Linked DNA regions of Xenopus tropicalis. The main gene of each other region encodes a partner of the protein of the gene in region 2 in a complex. Links are inferred from orthologs where the notes say so. Each region holds a gene or a part of one and is shown on either strand. Other genes may lie near its edges.

Region 1 (3,655 bases), on a different chromosome or scaffold from region 2:
AAAATGGAAAAGGTAAAAAAGTAACATGTTGCATATTATGGATTAGAAGACACCTTTTCTTGAAGATGAAGTGTTTAAATATCTAACTAGTAGTCTAATAGCTTTGGATTCCACATTTAATCACCCTACTGTGTTATGGTTACTGTTCTGTCCTTTTTATAAATGCTCTTAATCATTATATCTCGAGGTCTACATGGGTCTAATTGGCACCCAGCCCACTGACCCGCAACAATTTTATCAGCAGGTTGACCTGCTACCCATGGGCTGCAAAAACAAAAAACAGAAGTGGAGTCATCATCAGTGCGGTCATCCAAAGGCGGCAGATTGCAGCAAAGGCTATTGTGCTGCCAACACCCCTACACGCATCCATCTACAATTTCTTTCTGGCTACACATGAACCTGCTGGACTCTATTTTGATATCTTTCTTTTCAGGACTAGAGTACAGTATTTTCTGGTATGTGACAGGCAGAACTTAACCAGAACACATAACTAACACTGGCACTGGTAACTTTGTCTGTATGTGCGTTTTTGGTTTGTGACCACAGTGACTAAGTGGTAATGTACTACCGTACTACTCACAGGTACATATATCATTTAGTCAATTAACAGTACACTTGATCACATTACCACAAAAAAAAAAATCTGGTTTTCTTTCTAAACTATGGCTAACATGGTACAACACTTGTACCATGGTGCCACAGTGATTCACATGAGCCAGAAGAAAGACTATAGTACTTAAAAGGAGAAGGAAAGGCTACACAAGAGTTAATCTCAGGCTGGAGGCTTACCATCTGTAGTCTGAAAGGTGCCCTTAAGTCTCCCCATATCTCCATGGATTACAAGAAGAGAAGCTAAAACCGATATAAAAGCTAGAAGCTGTGTGCAGAGTTAAGTTCCCATGATCCCTCGCTGATTGCCAGACTTCAGGACTTGCAACCGAAGCGGCACATGCGCAGTTGTCTCTTCTGTGGGCACGCACAAGCAGGCGCGCTCCCTGTCAATCAGATCTCCTGAGCCGGCCCCTAGAAGCGTGCACTAGCAAGCGGTCTCGTTGCTATGGCGACGCGCTGTAAGCAGAAGCCTCCGGCGGCGTTCATTCATTCAAGGAGCGATCGTGGAGTTTGCTCTCGCGCCTAGGCTGGGGGGAGGGAGGAAGCTTGCGCATGCGCAGTAAATACACCGAAGGAGAGGAAGTGGGCATACAAATTCAAAGATGGCCGCGCCAAACCTTAGATAACGCTGAAACTTTCAGGTTAGATTTTATAAGTTTCTCTTACTATAATTGAGCCCAAAGTGTATCGTTTTTCTTTATCTATACTAGGACTATGCAATGGTACCATTTATAAAATTTGCCTTGCCATCTCCTTTAATGTGACAGTTTTTCTATATGGTATTATAGAAGAACACATACAGGTATGGGATCCATTATCTGGAAACCTGTTATCCAGAAAGCTCTAAATAACAGAAAGGCCATCTCCCATAGACTCCATTTTAATCAAATCACTCAAAATCATAAAAACATATTTCCTTTTTCTCTGTAATAATAAAACAGTACCTTGTACTTGATCCCAGCTGAGATATAACTATCCTTATTGGAGGCAAAACAATCCTATTGGGTTTATTTAATGTTATATGATTTTTAGCAGATATCTATTGGACAGGTTAGAAAATTTGGTCAGGCGAGGGCTGCATTAGTGTGTTTGTACTCTTTTGTAGCATTAAGTAGTGTCACATTTTTTAACTACTATTTAACTACCATCAACCTGTCCATCTTGGGTAACTACGGCCTCAATAATTTGGGACTCAATCAAGTCTAAAAACACTTTCACACAACTTTTGTACATATACTTCTTGTAGAAAAATATAAAATTACTTACCGGAGTCTTGCTACAGCAGTTTGCAAGAAATTTAGGACAGAACATAACTCTGACTCTCTACAAGCTGGCAACATCATGCTAAAGCCATCATTCAAAAGTTTTTCTTCAGAAAGCTGAAGGTTGTGGCTGGTTTCAAATACCTCTTGTACACCATCAACATATGTGGAAAGCAGTGTCCAGAGTGTGTGTTTTTGTCCAAAATCGCCCTTTGTCACCAAGAACTCCTTGGCAGTTTCTCGGAAACTGTGAGAAAGCTTTTCTGCAAGAGCACTTATGTCCATGTTTTTTTCCACGTATATCAAAAGAAATGCAAAATTACCCCTCCACAGAAGAGCCCGCTGGGAAGTACTGAGATGGCCGGGGACTAAAAACTGTAAAAGGTCTATAACACGACTAGCAACATCCTCGGTGTCTGCCACAATTGCCAGTAATAGGAAAAGAATGAAAAAGTGCTGTAGTCCAACCTCTGTAAGCTCCTGCATTTTTTTCTGGTGGAATTTGGAATAAATTCTGTGGAAATATATTTAATATTAAAAAAAAAACACAACAACAAATATGCAATATTTGATAAAGAATTAGTTCCTAAATTTAAAATGGTTTTATTAATTTGTATTTATCTGGATGTCCGAATATGGAGTTTCTATAGCCACTAAGGTTTATTAATTTTAATAAATAGGGTTTACACATGTGGATACAAACCTTTGATTTGATTATTTGCCTCTCTTGCCTATCCCAGTATTTGTTTACAATCACATTATTTAATTCTATGCTTGTATTCTTTATCAGGATAAAAAGCTCTAAATCTATAAGACCAATAACTCATAAAAAGCCTGAAAAATAGCATATAAAGTGATTTGTCATGCCTCTGCTTATTAATAGTGCTTAATAATGCTGCTGGTGATACAGAGCACCTCTGTATTTTTTATATCATTAGACGATTCCCTGTATATATCTCACTATATCTGATTGAAATGATCAAACAGGTAATTTAGCTGAACATCAGAAGTTTGCTGTGATAAACATTTGTTTAAAAAATATGCAGACCTTCCTTTAATCTGCTTCCAAGGATGGGCACCACGGCTTTCTTTGTCTTTTTTCATCAGTCGAGCCAAAATCCTCAGGAAAATTAGGTAGCTGTTATCAGACTTATACAGGTCAAGAGAGGGCTTATCAGTGCAGCAGCTCCTCACCACCTCCAGCATAGAACAAGGGCTTTTACTGACACATGCCAATGTTTGTAAACCTAGCCAGCGGATGGTAAAAGAACTGTTCTAAAGAGATTGGAAAAAATAAATAAATAAATAAATATTATATATATATATATATATATATATATATATATATATATATATATATATATATATATATATATATATACATACACACACACACACACACACACACACACACACACACACACACAAAGGATGGCACACCGTTACATAACATACCTCGGGTGCTCGGTAAAGGGTTCCAATAGTATAAAAAAGACCAGCAACTCCGGGATTTCTTGTGAAAAATCAAAACATATATTCAAAGTAGCATAAACAGCCTGTTTAATGCTACTTTGAATATATGTTTTGATTTTTCACAAGAAATCCCGGAGTTGCTGGTCTTTTTTATACTATATATATATATAAAATCCCGGAGTTGCTGGTCTTTTTTATACTAATATATATAAAATCCCGGAGTTGCTGGTCTTTTTTATACTATATATAAAATCCCGGAGTTGCTGGTCTTTTTTATACTAATATATATATATATTAGTATAAAAAAG
Region 2 (3,655 bases):
CTCCTGGGCTCTCGGGATCTGACGGACAGAGATATCGTGCGCAGGAACCTTAAATACGGTAAAAGCTCAGGGCACCCCCAGATGCTTCCTATTTGCCTTTAGTGCCACGAGTGACCTCCCTGCTCCTTCCCTGCAGCCATCAGAGGTTGCCGCCTGGAGGAGTCCCTGTCTGAGCTGAGCGAAGAGGATCAGCAGGGGGCGCTGTGTCTGTATGAGCAGCTCGGGGACCTGTATTGTAAAGTTGGCTGCTACACAAGAGCCATAGAGGACTACAGAATGCAGGTAGGTACCACAAACCCACAATTCCATTGCTGTATAGTGTTACTGCCCTATGGCCATGGTTACTGTGCTAAACAGGCCGTTCCCCTGTGCCTCTCAGAACCTGCTGCCATCTTGTTCTGCTGCTTATATTTCTCCCCTTGTACCAGCTGAACTGCGCTGAGACGCTGGGAAGGCCGGAGCGGGAACTGGCTGTTATACACGTATCCTTAGCCACCACCTTTACTGACCTTAAGGACCACGTACAGGCTGTGAAGCATTACCGGGCCGAGCTGGAACTGAGGAAGGGAAATCCATCTGAGGTACGGAACTCGAGGAAGCGTGGCCCTGCCTTTCACACAACATTTCTATAGTATTGAGCAGAGTCAGACCTGAGGGTGCTGTTGTCGCAGCCTGTGTGAAATTGTCCTTTCTGGACCATTGCTATGAATAGACAGACAGGCAATGAAGCTCCCTCTCTTTACTTTGTGACCCATTCTGTGGCAGTCTAGGTGACAACATATTGCAGCCCCATGCTACTCATTGGCTTATTTTGAAGCAGACATCCAACCTGTGTTCAAACTGTCCCTCTGTCCCTCCCCAGGAATGCAAGACTTGGATGAACATTGCTCAATCTTATGAGGAGGATGGGCGAAGGCACACCGACATACAGAGTTGCCTTTCCAATGCATTGCAGTGCGCCCAGCGGGCAGGAGAGGCTGCGCTGCAGGTAAGTAGTGCTCACCCACTGCAAATGACACTTATTGTGCCCCTTTGTGCTCATCTGCACCTGTGGTGTCCGTGCACAATTAGAGAATCATCTTTGTGCCTCTATCTCTGGGCAATAGAGCTACAGTCATGAGTCTGCAAAGGGGGTTTCTCTGGGGTATGATGTGATGGGATGGGGCTTTTGGTTTGTAGTTATGTAACCCTGAGCTCTCATAGTGCTACTCCTGCTGTACTCCTTTGGGTGCTGCCTTGCCTTTTATAACTCAGTGGGTCTATGTGCTGCTGTTTCCCAGAGGAAGGTTCTCCGCCAACTGCTGGCCGTGCAGGAGAAGTTGGGGGACCCAGAAGTGGGCGACACAGAGGCAAAACTACAGGAGCTGTGTTCAGGCCCTGGCGGGGAGAGCAGCGAGGAAGAGGAGGAGATGGAGAATAGTGAGCCCCTGCAGGAGAGTGACTTGGAACTGTCGCAGAGCGGTGAGACTCCGCCTTTCTTTAGTGCCCATGTCTGCCAGCTCAGCTCATATGTTCCTTTGCTTGTGCCATTATTTCCCCCAATGTAGTTATTGCCGTGCCGGTTATTCCCTCCTACCCCCTTTTTCATTCATCACAAGCCCAATGAAACGCTGTACTGCCCCTTTATTATCATTTGTTACACAGGCAGCGGCATTCATTACCCTGATCCATTTACCCACAAGGGGCACTATTACTAACATTCAGCCTTCTCTGCGGTTTGTTTTATTGTGAACTGGAAAGTTAATTTATTTCTCATGAAATTTCACTTCTGTGCAGAGGATGACGAGGATCTGGAAGGGTATGAAAAATTAGTTCCTGGCAAGAGAAGAGTAAACCGGGTAAGACTGTGCCCAAGGAATGATGGGTTGTAAGGGGATTGCAAGCTCTAAGGGTCACTTACTTTTGTGCTTCTTTGTCTGGCAGTGGAACCGGCGTAATGAGAAGGGTGAGACGGTGCTGCACCGCGCCTGTATTGAAGGCAACGCCAAGCTTGTCAAGACCTTAATAGAGAAGGTAGGACCCCTTTCTGTGCCAGGTTGGCCCCCCGGTATGGCCGCCATTAGTCTGTAGGACGATTGAACAAACAATGTTTTCTCCTGTTATGTGATTGGCATTCTGTGCTTTTCCTGATTGTTTTCGCTCCCTTACAGGGCCATCCTCTGTCCCCCAGAGATTACTGCGGTTGGACCCCCCTCCACGAAGCTGCTAACCATGGCCACTTGGGTATGATAAAGATAAATCGAAGGAATTAAGGCAGGATATATTGAAGTGATAGTTTACCTTTAAATTAACTTTGAATGTGCTATAAAATGGCCAGTTCTAAGTAACTTTTCAATTGGTCTTTGTTTTTTTTTATCTTAATTCTGAATTATTTACCACCTTCTTCTGCCTCTTTCCAGCTTTTAAATAGGCGTCACCGACCCCGGCAGCCAAAACCTATTGCTCTGGGAGGCTCCAGTGTTATTTCTACTTATTAATACTTATTTTATCTATTTAGCCCCTCTACTATTCATGTATCAGTCACTCTCTCAAACCACTCCCTGGTCATTAAGCTAAATTGGACCCTAGCAACCAGATTACTGCTGAACATAAATCAAAGACAAAAAGTAAAATAATTCAAAAGCTACCAATTATAAAAAAATGAAGACCAATTGCAAATTTTCTCAGAATATCACTCTCTATCTCATAGTAAAAATTTACTAAAAGGTGAACCACCCCTTTACGGAACAGTTATAGTGACGACTCCTGTCCCTTCCTCTCTCCAGAGATCGTGGAACTTCTCTTGGAAAAAGGGGCCAACATTAATGATCCTGGGGGGCCTTTGTGTGAGGGGATCACCCCCCTTCATGATGCCCTGTCCAGTGGCAACTTCCACGTGGCCCAGTTACTGATTCGCCGAGGTGCATCTGTGACCCTGAAGAATGCCAAGGTGTGTTGACTGTTAGATCACTTCCTGTGTTATTACATCACTTCCTTTTTAGTTGCTCAATATTGTCAGTGATTGTGCTGTAAAGGTTAAAGTAATGCTCTCGCTGCTGCTAAATATCGCTGGGTTGGGGATTCTGGTACATGACGCTATGGTATAGGGAGTGCAGCGCTGAAGGAAAGCAGTGGGGTTGTGCTGGGCAGGTCTGGGATTTGGCCACAGTAGAAACTGGTTTGACCAATAATCTGGCATTTCCTTTAGGGAGTCGCCCCTCTGGGAAGCCTCCAGGATTGGATCGGTACCTATGGGAAACATCTGGATCAGGAAACCAGGCAGAACTGCAAGGAAACGGAAAGCCTTCTGCGGGAAGCTCTGGCCGGCCGGGGTAAGATATTGGGGAGCAGCTGGGGGTGCACGCTCGGTGTTGGAGTTGATTAAAGGAGAACTAAAGGCTTTAGGACCAGCCCAAGGCAACCGCTGCCCTTTAGCAGGGAAGATCTGTGCCCCCAAAGATGCCCCAGTAGCCCCCATCTTCTTCCTATCTCAATATACTTCTTCTCACAATATACTGTATATATAGAATCTAAATGTAACCATATGAGGCTGATTAGTAATTCATTCAGATTCACATTATATTGCAGCTCTAAAACCAGTGCAATTAGCATCACAATTTAATAATCATCCGTGTTCAGTTTATATGACAGACCAGCCTTATTTTCTGCTCGATTA

What was found. The genes of interacting proteins can lie anywhere in the genome.
Region 1: tonsl (region 2) and mms22l share a complex: the UniProt entries of both Homo sapiens proteins name them as parts of the MMS22L-TONSL complex. The link is inferred for Xenopus tropicalis from reciprocal best matches to the Homo sapiens genes TONSL and MMS22L.

Annotation. Positions count from the first base shown.
Region 1 is NC_030681.2:83,157,404-83,161,058, reverse strand, and holds part of mms22l (protein MMS22-like), read right to left. Parts: intron 3,150-3,655; coding exon 2,923-3,149; intron 2,389-2,922; coding exon 1,879-2,388; intron 1-1,878. UniProt on the Homo sapiens protein: Component of the MMS22L-TONSL complex, a complex that promotes homologous recombination-mediated repair of double-strand breaks (DSBs) at stalled or collapsed replication forks.
Region 2 is NC_030682.2:152,172,946-152,176,600, reverse strand, and holds part of tonsl (tonsoku-like protein), read left to right. Parts: coding exon 1-58; intron 59-136; coding exon 137-282; intron 283-428; coding exon 429-581; intron 582-862; coding exon 863-988; intron 989-1,280; coding exon 1,281-1,461; intron 1,462-1,776; coding exon 1,777-1,838; intron 1,839-1,923; coding exon 1,924-2,013; intron 2,014-2,150; coding exon 2,151-2,223; intron 2,224-2,765; coding exon 2,766-2,929; intron 2,930-3,187; coding exon 3,188-3,311; intron 3,312-3,655. UniProt on the Homo sapiens protein: Component of the MMS22L-TONSL complex, a complex that promotes homologous recombination-mediated repair of double-strand breaks (DSBs) at stalled or collapsed replication forks.